3 linked regions of the Callithrix jacchus genome follow. The protein of the gene in region 1 interacts with the protein of each later gene in a biochemical or structural test. Links are inferred from orthologs where the notes say so. Each region holds a gene or a part of one and is shown on either strand. Other genes may lie near its edges. The genes, in order: TEK, ANGPT2 and ANGPT4.

Region 1 (3,723 bases):
CTGCCCACCTCTGCCTCCCAAAGTGCTGGGCTTACAGGCGTGAGCCACTGCACCTGGCCAAAAAATTTTTTTAAAAGGGAGTTTGCTTTGCTAAAAACATTGACATTTATGCCTATTAAAATGTAAAATGATTTCACTGTTTTTTAAAGAAGAATTTTTTGGGTAAATCATGTTTTTTCTATGTTGAATGAATTAGAAGTTGAGGCCCAGCACAGTGGCTCACACGTGTAATCCCAGCACTCTGGGAAGCCAAGGCAGAAGGATTGGTTGAGCCCAGGAGTTTGAGACCAGTCTGGGCAGTATAGTGAGACCTAATCTCTACCAAAATAAAAATAAACGAAAATTAGCCAAGCATGGTGGTACATCCCTGTAGTCCCAGGTACTTGGGAGTACTTAGGAGGCTGAAGTGGGAGGACTGCTTGAGCTTAGGGAAAGGGAGGTTGCGGTGAGCCCAGACTGTGCCACTGCACTCCAGACTGGGCAACAGAGTGGAACCCTGGCTCAAAACAAGAAAGAAAAAAGCCTGAAATATATTCTAAGAAATTGAAAACTCTAGCAAAAAAAGAAATCTGGTATGGTATCCAGTTGCACTATAAGGAAAGTTAGACCTAAATTATGGAATAAATGTGCTTTCTCACATCTTTACTGAATTATTCTAAAATAATTTTAAAATGTATTTATTAATTTACTAATAAATATTTATATAACATATATTCGTAAATATGTACAAATAATTTATCTTAAAATTTTAAGAGCCAACTAACTGTGCTAGTGTGATGACAGAGCAAAATTTTAAGGGATATATTTTTGTTGTCACATTCTCCTCCTCCACTAAGAAAGCTGCATTAATATTTGTAGTTTATTCTCTCCCAAAAGACCAATTGCAACCAAATGAGGTAAACATCACCTCAAGATTTTACTGTCCTCAGAATAAAACAAAAGATGAGGCTTACAGCTGGATCACTTGGCCATTTCTCTTCTTATCTCCTCTGAGTGCGAAGTGCCTGGGTCCCTCACGGCCAGCATTCTCTTAGATCTGCAGCGGGGTCAGCACACTAAAGCCCCAGCAGAGTCTTCTTTGTGGTTTTAGGCTTTTTCCAGAAAACTGGTTTATTCTATCCACCACCGCCACTTGGCTTCCTGTCATAACACCACTTGCCCTGGGTATCCAGAGAATCTTTGCCCTTTTGTACTGTGTCTTTGTGGGGTTTGAACAGAAAGTCAGGCAGGTTTTAAGAACACTCACCATGTTTGTGGGAGTGCCATCAGCAAGGACAGCAGGGTGTGTGTGTGGGGGGGTGTTTAACTTTCATTTATACTCCTGTCCCATGCTGATTATTGTTTTTAGGAAGTAGCTCAAAAAATAAATGTCATTACTTCATTATTTAACCTAAGGGACATGATCTGGCTTTCAGAATTACACCCTCATTGGTTCATAGAATGATATATTGTTGGAAGCACCAGTATTTTTAGTTTAATAAATTGAGGAAAGGGAAGTAGTCTCTTCTATTGTTGCTATTTGTCCTGCAAAGTCAACAAGAGGCTGTCAAGTCTGTAAAATAATTACTGCATGGAGCTTTTCGTGGGAGCAAAGTTTTCCATGAGAAATGAAGTTTAAGCACAAATTCAGAAGGACAAGGCCATGCAGCTTTGCAGAGGTAAACTCATAGAAGACTTTTGTCGTTACCTACACCCTCACCACTAATTTCACACATTACAATAGAAAATGCTCAATAAACATTTGAATTAATAACATAAATTTAACTTTAAAGGCATGTGCAACATAGGATAGACGTAAAGCTCCATGGTAATTGTACATGAAAGCACTCTACATAAAAACAAAGCACCATCGCATGAGAGCTTATTATAATTATTTTAAAAATCTAAGCATCCTCAGTTTTCATATTTCAGTAGATTGCTGGCATTCATGCCTTTTAACATTCAGAATACTCGTCCTTGGGTTTCCAGGAAAAATGTAAAGATAGGGAATTAAGAAGAAACTGATGTTGGGGGCTGCCCTACTATACTTTAGTAGTGGTGGTAGTTGAGAAAATGTCTGGATGACCAAGGATGGGGCAGGGAGGAGCCATGAATACCTTTGTTCAGTAATGTCTGAACCGCCTCAGAGGCTAAATAGTCCAGCCTCGGTACCTACCTCCAAAACGATGGCAAACCTCAGCACAATCTATAAATGGGACTAGAGAGACATTCAGATAGAATATGCAACTTTTAAAAAATAAGCAACATTCTTAAGATCATTATCTTTCCTTATATCAGTATGAAATATATCTGTTTTATAAAAAAAAAAATTCGGCAGGAAAGGCAGGAAAAGAGCATCTCACCTCGATGTTCACATGCTCCTAAGAGATTGATGATGTTTGGATGGTGTCCAAGTTTACAAAGGACTTCCAGCTCTCCTGCAAAGTCCCTGTGATCATCTTTAGAGGCATATTCTGGGAAGAAAGTGAAAAGTTGTGGTTCATCCTTGTCACACCTTTTCAGAATCAGGTGTCCTGTCCTGCCCCCCACCAGAACCTTCAGGTACCCTCAGTCACCATCAACTGTATACAGACTTCTCGAGTAGAGTTTCTCAGCAGCCTTGGCACTATTGATACTGGGATGATCATTCTTTTTAAGGGGTACTGTCCTGTGCATGGTAGGATGTTTTGCAGCCATCTTGCCCTCTACCCACTATGTGCTGATAGGCAACCAAAAATGTACCCAGATATTGCCAAATGCCCCCAGAGGCAAAACCACCTCTGGATGAGAACCAACCAGTACTCTAAAGTTTTCTTGTTTAAGCTCCTAGATCCTCAGGTAAATGACTTGGTAGAGGTGGAGCTGTACCATCTTTTAGACGTTAGCTCTTCCAGCTAAATCTACCATCCAGAGACAACTAAGCAATAGAACCAAAGTTTCCATGAAACATCACCAATAATGCATGCATCTTTGTTCATTGATTGTAACTTATGTTTTACAAATCAGTCTTAATCTGGTTAATTGAGCTAAACAAATCAAATCCAAATGGTGTCTTATGGAAGTTGCATGGGAATCAGGAAACTGAGTTGCATCTGCTTCTATTCCTTTTGCCTTGTCTCTCCACTAGCACTCTGACCAGAGGGAGAAATCACCAGGGACCAGACTGAAGAGAAGGCTATTGGTTGGTACATAAACTGATCAGTCTTGTGTCGGAGACAATGAGCTATGCTGTTTTTCAAAAAAAAGCACTGGGTGGCAAGGGTAGGAGTGGGGTGCTAGTGGCCATGGACATGCCTGATCATGCTTAGAAACTGACAATTGTCTCAGGAGGGGCTAAGGGTACCCATAAGTCAGGTGCTCTGTTCAGACTGCAGAAGCCTCACTGAAGGTCAAACCTTGGGAATAATTTTTTAAAGAAGTTCTTTACAGGGAGGTTGTCCGCTTACTTCAGTAACTGCCCTTCTTTGGATGCAGAGCTTCGCCTGCAGGATTTCTCTGCTCTGGTGCCTTATTAAGCTCTTTTCCCTCTTCACATGGGCACAAGACAGAAAATCAGGCTCACATCAGATCCCAATAAAAACTGCCCTCCTAAGATTCTACACCCCTCTCCTCTCACTATCCTCACTGCTCCCCAAGACTCCCTGTGACTAAAGTAGCAAAAGAGAAAAGGGATTTCTGGCTGTTTTGCAAGTAGTTGATATTGTTTTTAAAGAAATATATTGCTGTTTCTAATCATAGATATAT
Region 2 (4,300 bases), on another chromosome or scaffold:
TCTGGTGAAACGTATGAACACCTTCTCAAAAGATGACTCGTGCTACTTTATTCAAATATTCAGTAAAGAGACCTAGGGATGGGTTTAATAAAAATATAGTTTAAGTACAAGTGACAGCAAATAAAAATAGCTGATTTCTATTGATGAGGTCACAGATGACACTGTTGTTTGTTAACTACTCATAGATAAGGGAAAGGCTATCTTTCTGTTAGAGCTCAGGGGAAAATAAAGATCTTTCGTAGGTAGATGTGGTCTGCCAAGTGAGGGTACCAGATATTCAGCACTCACTGGGAATAATAAACCTTGCACACTGAGAGCTAAACAGACCACAACACATGTACACGTGGGCTGGTGAGTTAACATATTGTTAACCTCTGACGTATTAAGTTTTAGTTGTTAAAGGAAGTGACTCGTAGGACTTACAGAGCCACGGGATTGAAGTAGAAAAATATTGTGAGTGCACCCCCTGAAACGCACAGATAAGGACATTAGAGCTTAATTAAAAAGGGGAAGTGACTTGCCCGGGTCTAATACCAAGGGGGACTAACGTAATTGATAATATGTTACAAAATGCTGAGAAGTCAACAAATCCTGATACAATAAAAAGGTTTCTGGGCCAGATGAGGGGGCTCATGCTCGTAATCCCAGCACACTTGGAGGCTGAGGCAGGCAGATCACAAGGTCAGGAGTTTGAGGCCAGCCTGACCAACACGGTGAAACCCTATCTCTACTAAAAATACAAAAATTAGCTGGGCATGGTGGTGCGCGCCTGTAGTCCCAGCTACTCGGGCGGCTGAGGCAGGAGAATTGCTTGAACCCAGAAGGCGGAGGTTGCGGTGAGCCGAGATCGTGCCATTGCACTCCAGTCTGGGTAACAACAGCAAAACTCCGTCTCAAAAAAAAAAAAAAAAGAAAAGAAAAAGAATAAATATCAGAGCTCAGAAACTGAAGTTTCTAACATGACTTAATAACAGAAGATCTTCCTCTCCAACTGATTTGAAATGAAAGTCTTTTGTAACTTTGCCAATGGTTCAAGAATCAACTAATGTCAATGAATCTATTTTTTTCCCCTCTGGAAAGGCACGAGTTTACAAGAGCCAAGCTTCTTCCTCTCTATGTGTAATAACAAAAATGAACCGAAGCCCTGTAGTATTTTTATTCCTCAAGGAAAAAACAGGAACTTTCATTGTGCTTTAACATTAAAGTTATTACCTCGGATATTTTGCCAGCTTAGCACGGTGAAATCAGTTTCAGACAAAAGAGATCAACTGCTCTCTCTAGGAAATACTTAATTAGGGTGGTGCCTAGGAATGCCCAGGGGTCCTGTAAAGATCGTTTTTTCCCGGAGGATTTCTGCAGCATGCGGTCCTGTTGGACGGCAGGCATTCTGCTCCGATTTTTCCTGTTGCCTGGCTAGTGACCCCCTACAGGAAGATAGCGGATCAGCCAGGAGGGCGGAGCAGCCCACTACACATGTCTGGCTGCTCTTATCAACTTATCATATAAGGAAAGGAAAGTGATTGATTCGGATACTGACACTGTAGGATCTGGGGAGAGGGAAACAAAGAACCGCGAAAGCTGCTCTGTAGAAGCTGGCACAGCCCTCCCAAGCGAGCAGGACCGTTCTTCCCACTGCAATCTGACAGTTTACTGCATGCCTGGAGAGAACACAGTACTCAAAATCAAGTTTGCTACTGGAAAAAAAGGCAAGAGAAGACTTCCATTGACGGACCCAGCCATGGCAGCACAGTAGCCCTGCGTTTCCGACGGCAGCAGCCCGGGACTCTGGACTTGTGTGCCTTCAAGTTTGCTGAGCTGCTGGTTTGTTCCTGAAGAAAGAATGTGGCAGATTGTTTTCTTTACTCTGAGCTGTGATCTTGTCTTGGCCGCAGCCTATAACAACTTTCGGAAGAGCATGGACAGCATAGGAAAGAAGCAGTATCAGGTTCAGCATGGGTCCTGCAGCTACACTTTCCTCCTGCCTGAGATGGACAACTGCCGTTCTTCCTCCAGCCCCTACGTGTCCAATGCTGTGCAGAGGGACGCGCCGCTGGAATACGATGACTCGGTGCAGAGGCTGCAACTGCTGGAGAACATCATGGAAAACAACACTCAGTGGCTAATGAAGGTAGGAAAATCATCTGTCTTTGCGAACAATCCATGCTATTAAGATCAGCTTGGCAGCAGCTCTGGTTTTAACAACCAAAAAAAAAAAAAAAAAGAGGGGGGATTAAGAGGATTATAGCTGGAGAGCAGGTTGCGGGTACCCTAGGATGAAAGATCATTTTTCTTTTATTCTATCCCAGGGTGTGTGGATAGTCCGGGGGTGAAAATAATTATTTGGAAAGAACGTCAGGGTCAACACAGAAAATCCTTAAAGTTGCAAATCTTTACTAACAAAGTAGAGGAAATACCCTCCTGCACAGCTTGTGTGCCGTTCTGCTTGTTTACGTCGCTGAAGCTCGGTAAGACCCATCACCAGGCAGGCACTCAGCTGACTGCAGGCGAGTGAGGGAAGGCTGTGAGCCACAGCCGCCCGCGAGCCAGAAAGACCATGACAACCCTGCTGATGACCGGGACATAACGGATGGAGTAAAGTGCTTTACCAATTTCCTGAATTTATTTACTAAAGTAGGTTGTGGCTCTTGGTGAACGAGAGGAAATTAAATAAAGCAGACCTTATGTTGCTCAGATGCTCAGGGCTCTATGGCTAAGGGCTTGCTGTCTGTAAATAGGGGCAGTTTTCCCAAGCGTCCAGAAAGTATTCAGCACTGCAGCCCCGGCAGTTCCAGCCACCCGTGTGGAATGCGTCCCCACGTGGGACAGTTATGTTCAAGTCATGTCACGGCAGGACGGTCTGACAGTTTGTTCTTGTTCTTGGGGTGATTCCACTGTTTCACAGATGATTCTGATGCTTCCTAGGCTTTTTATGGAGACGTAACCAAAATAGGATATTGAAAGCTTTTTCTTTCACAGATAATTTTTTTCACGTGTAAACATGGGAGCTATTTATATATAACCATTGAAAAGCCAAGTGACCCTGGAATTTTCTTTATAGGGACTCCATATATTCTAAAGGAAGTTTAAACAAATGCATAAATTAATCGTTAAGCGGCATGCTGAAGCCATGACATCACAATGCTTACCTGGCAAGGGATGTGATTATTTAAAACTACACAAAATCTTTTAAAAGTTGGTGAGCCTCATTTAACACGTTACCCTGGAAAAGCACAATTATTTTGTCACTCTTTCATTTCGCCATCAGCTTTTTGTTAGGACACCTTATCTGAATCTCAGAACAGATCTGGACCCTTTTCTGTGCTTCTCATTACCCCCCTACCTTCAGAGAGGAAACGACTGAGTTATGTGAGCCATGAGCCTAAATGAATGACCGTGAATGAATGTTCCCAGCACCACTGTGACTGTGTCAAGAGGAGTGTTTAAAACAACAAAAATGTACCCGACTGACCCATCAAATGTATGTTCATCTAAAACTCGCCAGCAATGTCTGTTTAAGCTCCTGGCTAAGTGCTTCAGTAAGTTTCTCTCCTTTCCCAGGTCACTGTGTCGTGCTTTTAAACATCTCCTAAAATTCAGAGCTGCGTAAGTAACTATGCTAAGCTTAGAACGTGTGCAGCAACGCAGGCTGGAATACGGGGAAGGCAAACTGTACCCTCAATACCCGCTTAACGTGAACTTCCTGTTTCTTTGTAAATGGTGACGTTTAACAGCTTTCCCACATCAGCCGTGGTTACAGTCACTGTGAGGGATGAAAGACGCATTACAGTAAACCTTCTAAGCTGCCCGGCTGGCAAGTCATCTCCTATAATAAAGAGCCACGAAACAGGAAAGAATGTTTTGCCAAACGTAAGGCTGGTCACTTGTATTTGCTTAATTAAGCCTACATTAGGTATACCTGAAACTCCATAAGCACAGCTCATGTTTCTTTCTTAGGTAAACTACCCCTTCTCTTGGGTCTTTGAGATAGCATTTAAAGACAGAAGAAGACAAGGAATTCTATGTTAGGTGACCCAAATTTCTTCCTTTCCAGGTTCTCTTAGTCAATATTTGAACAGTAGCAGCACAATGGTATTTCAAAAGTCCGCCTTTGGCTATCTAGCTAAATACTGTTTCACCAAGAGTGACTCAATGTTTATCTTTTTGCCGGCTCCACACCTGCTCTCCCCGCCTAGCTCAGCAACGTGCGCCTGAGAAAGGCAGTTTGCGCTCTCACTCGGTTTACAGGCTTCTGGCTTGGGAATGAAAACAAAAAGGCAAAGATGAAACCCACTTAAAGTGA
Region 3 (3,723 bases), on another chromosome or scaffold:
GAGGCTGCAGCGAGCCACGATCACATCGCTGCACTCCAGCCTGGGTGACAGTGAGACCCCAAAAGGCAAATGGACTTCCCCAGATGGAGAGATGTGACTGGGAGTGTACAGGAGGATGAACACTGCAGGTTATGTTTATTCTCCATACTTTTTTTTTGAGATACAATCTTACTCTGTTGCCCAGGCTGGAGTCCGGTGGTGCCATCTCAGCTCACTGCAACCTCTGCCTTCTGGTCTCCTGCAATCCTCCTGCCTCAGTCTCCTGGGTAGCGAAAACCAGAGGCTTGTGCCACCATGTTCAGCTAATTTTTGTATTTTCAGTAGAAATAAAATGTCATCAGGTTGCTCAGGCTGGTCTCAAACTCCTGGGTTCAAATGATCCACCCTCCTCTGCCTCCCAATGTACTGGGATTACAGGTGTGAGCCACCGCACCTGGCCTCTATGCTTTTTTATATGTGTGAAATGTAACGTCATTATATTATTAACATTATAGTTTTTTTTTAAGTAAGGGTGGGTGTGGAGGTGAGAATGTGGAGACAACTTGTAGAAGTTTTGTGTTAAGGAGACCAGAGAAACTGGAGAAGCAGCCAGAGAGGCTGTGGGGTCAGTTTTTAGATGGAACTTGTTAGCACATGCTGTGTCCTACAGGGAGTCGGGGGTTAATGATGCAGAGAAGGATGGAAGGAGGTCTCTCTGGTCTTCAGTCCCCCCTGCCATCTCTGCGTCAAGGGCTCTCACACTTGAGCAAGTATCTAACGCAGCCAGGGAGCTGTTAACCGCAGCTGGCTGGACACCGTTAAGTTTCCAGTTCAGTAGGTCTAGGGTGGGACCTGGAAATTCTCATTTTTCATAAACTCTCAGCTGATGCTGATGAAAGAACCATACTTTGACATAGTCTAACCAATACTACTACGGCCCACAAGCACCCACTCCAGGATTTGATAATGGAACATGCTCCCTTTGAAACACTCCAGGGGGAGGAAGGGATGGGAGTGGACAGTCAAGATGGAAGAAAGGAGAAGAGATGAAGGAGGAAGTGGCTGGAGCCTGGCCAGAGCAAAGGTCACCACCTCTCCTGGGGAGCACCCGTCTTCCCAGGGACCCTGGGAGCTGTCCAGTTGGACCTTCTGAAAGACTGAGTGAGAAAGCAAGGGAAGGAGCCAGGGACGGGGATGGGGGGGTGTGGTGAGAGGCCAGCATGTGTGCCAAATGGAGAGAGAATGGTGGGGCAGAGCTGGCTCTCTCCCGACAGGCACTGAGCCCTAAGAACACACTGTTCACCTTTACAACACAATCCTGGTGCTGTACCAGACCAACTCTCCTGCCCTTGGGAAAGAGAGCAGCCCTGTCAAAGAAATGAACATTAGCACGTGGGATCCCAGAACATCAGAGCTGGGAGAACCCTTGGAGACTGGCCAGTCCAGCCCCATTTGCAGATGGAGGAGACCTGAAGAGAGAAAGCACAGCTTGGCCAACGGACCTGCAAACTCTTTGTACAAGGGAGAGATGCATTCCCACTCCCTGCTGGATGGCTCTCCCCGAGGAAGTGGGGAAGGGGCATGTGGTTGGGTGCTGTGCTCTGACCCTTGCTGCTTCCCCTTTTTCATCAATTCATTAAACACATCTTTATGAGCACTTGCTGTGTGCCATGCATTGTGCCAAACATAGAAATAAGATAGTGAGCAAAACCAAGTCCCTGGCTTCATGGAATTGACATTCTAGAGAGAGAAACAGACAACAGACAGATAAAAAGAGAGGTAGTGATTTTAAAAAGTCAAGTGGTGATAAGTGGCATGAAGAAACCTGAAACAACATGAGGGTGTGTGCCACGCAGATGGAGTGGGGGCTGGGGGAGGATTCCAGAGGGAACAGTGAGGAAACAGCATGTGCAAAGGCCCTGAGGGGGGCGCAGGCTTGCTTTGTTGGGATGTCAGGGAGGCATTGCATCGGGATTGAAGTGAGTGAGGGAGAGGGGAATAGGAATAGAATGAGAGTGTAGCGGCAGGCCCGGTCACGGAGGAACCTGCAGTCTTGGCTTTTCTGAGTGAGGTAGGAACCCTGGGAGGATTTTGAGCAGAGGAGGAGTGTGACTTGACTTAGGTTTAGCAGGATCCCTCTGGCTGCCTAGAGGGGGAGAACCGTGAAGGGGACAAGGACGGAGGCAGAGAGGCAGACAAAACATATATGTGATCCCTCCCAAGGAAACATCTACTGTGACTGTCCAGGCAAGAGGTAAAGGTGGCCTGAGCTGGCCCGGCATGTTCTGAGGCAGGGAGGCCTCCTGTGCCTGCTCAGTGCCCTTCCATGGAGACACATGGGAGGGACAGGGGGCTTCCCCCAGCATCTCCCCTGTGACCCCAGCCCATGGTCTCCCACAGCTAGAGAGGACCATCAAGATGCGCTTGAGGTTGGAGCTGGTGGAAGCCCAGCAGCAAATGGTCCACAATCAGACGGCCCCCCTGCTGAAGCTGGACATCAGCTTCCTGAACCAGACCACTGCCCAGACCCGCAAGCTGACGGACATGGAGGCTCAGGTAATGGAGAGTGAGTGAGTGGGCACTGAGGGCCTGTGACTGGCCAGGCTGGCTCACAGCCCCAATCATCTTACCTTGACCTCTGTCCCTGGGTAGGGTCAAGGCCTCCTCTGGGCCTGTAGCCCCCTGGGCCCCTCCTTTCTGATGACCTTCTCATAAAACTATCTCCCTCTAAGCTATGAGCCCTGGGAGGTGAATGCTGGACTTGGCTTTTCTGCCTCTGTAACTTCAGTGCCGGGGTCCGTGCTGGGCACTGGGAGGAGGGGTAGAGCAGCACAGCCCCCCTACCCTCAGGAGGCTTATAAGGCACTAGGGGAAGATAGATAAAAAATAATTATTTGGGCCTCCGGGAGCCAAGGACTTGGAGAGAGGAGGTATCTGAGCAGCAAAGAGCAGGGAGGGAACTGGTGAGAAAAGGGAGGGTGGGGAAGTCAGTGGATGAAACAGTCAATAACAAATGGACACAAGTTTCTGCCCATTTGTTTGTTGGATCCCCTGTGTGCTGGGCACTGCTTGAGAAGACTGTTTCTAGCATATAGCAGGAAACAAAGCAGGCATGCATTCCTACCACTGTGAGGCTTCCCCTGGAAATGGAAAGATAAATGACATATGTGGTTATGCGCTACTTAACAACGTTCCCGTGAACAACTTACCACACAGACAACGGCAGGCCCATAAGGCTCTCACACCCTGTTTTTACTGCACCTTTTCTATGTTTAGATATGCATACACAAATACCTCGCAGGTGGTAGAACTGCCTACAGTATTCGTACAGTCAGGTGCTGTACGGGTTTGTAGCTTAGGAGCAACAGGCTGTCTCATATAGCCTAGGTGTGTAGGCGGCTACACCATCCAGGTGTGTGTAAGTACACACTATGATGTTTGCACAATGACGAAATCACATAACGATGAATTTCTTACAACATCTTTGCATCGTTAAGCAACACGTGGCTGTATGTGTTAGCCAGTGGCCGCGCTAAGGAGAAAACAGCGTGGAAGACAGAGCAAGAGGCGGGTGCATTGGGAGTGGTGGGAGGGATGAGAGCTGCGAGTTCACACAGCAAGGCCAGGAAGGGCCATGGAGAAGGTAGGGCTGCAGCCAGGCTTACTGCAGAGAGTGCTCCAGACAGAGGGTGCAGCACGTGCAAAGGCCCGAGGGAGGGGGCGTGCTGGTGGGTTCAAGAACAT

Evidence for each region.
Region 2: the proteins of TEK (region 1) and ANGPT2 form a complex in vitro, tested with the Homo sapiens proteins (7 studies listed by BioGRID and IntAct, with this or other methods). The link is inferred for Callithrix jacchus from reciprocal best matches to the Homo sapiens genes TEK and ANGPT2.
Region 3: the proteins of TEK (region 1) and ANGPT4 form a complex in vitro, tested with the Homo sapiens proteins (2 studies listed by BioGRID and IntAct). The link is inferred for Callithrix jacchus from reciprocal best matches to the Homo sapiens genes TEK and ANGPT4.

The regions. Positions count from the first base shown.
Region 1 is NC_133502.1:134,401,206-134,404,928, reverse strand, and holds part of TEK (angiopoietin-1 receptor), read right to left. Parts: intron 2,454-3,723; coding exon 2,343-2,453; intron 1-2,342. UniProt on the Homo sapiens protein: Tyrosine-protein kinase that acts as a cell-surface receptor for ANGPT1, ANGPT2 and ANGPT4 and regulates angiogenesis, endothelial cell survival, proliferation, migration, adhesion and cell spreading, reorganization of the actin cytoskeleton, but also maintenance of vascular quiescence.
Region 2 is NC_133514.1:9,418,121-9,422,420, reverse strand, and holds the start of ANGPT2 (angiopoietin-2), read left to right. Parts: upstream 1-1,500; 5' UTR 1,501-1,840; coding exon 1,841-2,128; exon of another isoform or gene 2,129-4,300. UniProt on the Homo sapiens protein: Binds to TEK/TIE2, competing for the ANGPT1 binding site, and modulating ANGPT1 signaling. Can induce tyrosine phosphorylation of TEK/TIE2 in the absence of ANGPT1.
Region 3 is NC_133506.1:8,628,926-8,632,648, reverse strand, and holds part of ANGPT4 (angiopoietin-4), read left to right. Parts: intron 1-2,379; coding exon 2,380-2,535; intron 2,536-3,723. UniProt on the Homo sapiens protein: Binds to TEK/TIE2, modulating ANGPT1 signaling. Can induce tyrosine phosphorylation of TEK/TIE2. Promotes endothelial cell survival, migration and angiogenesis.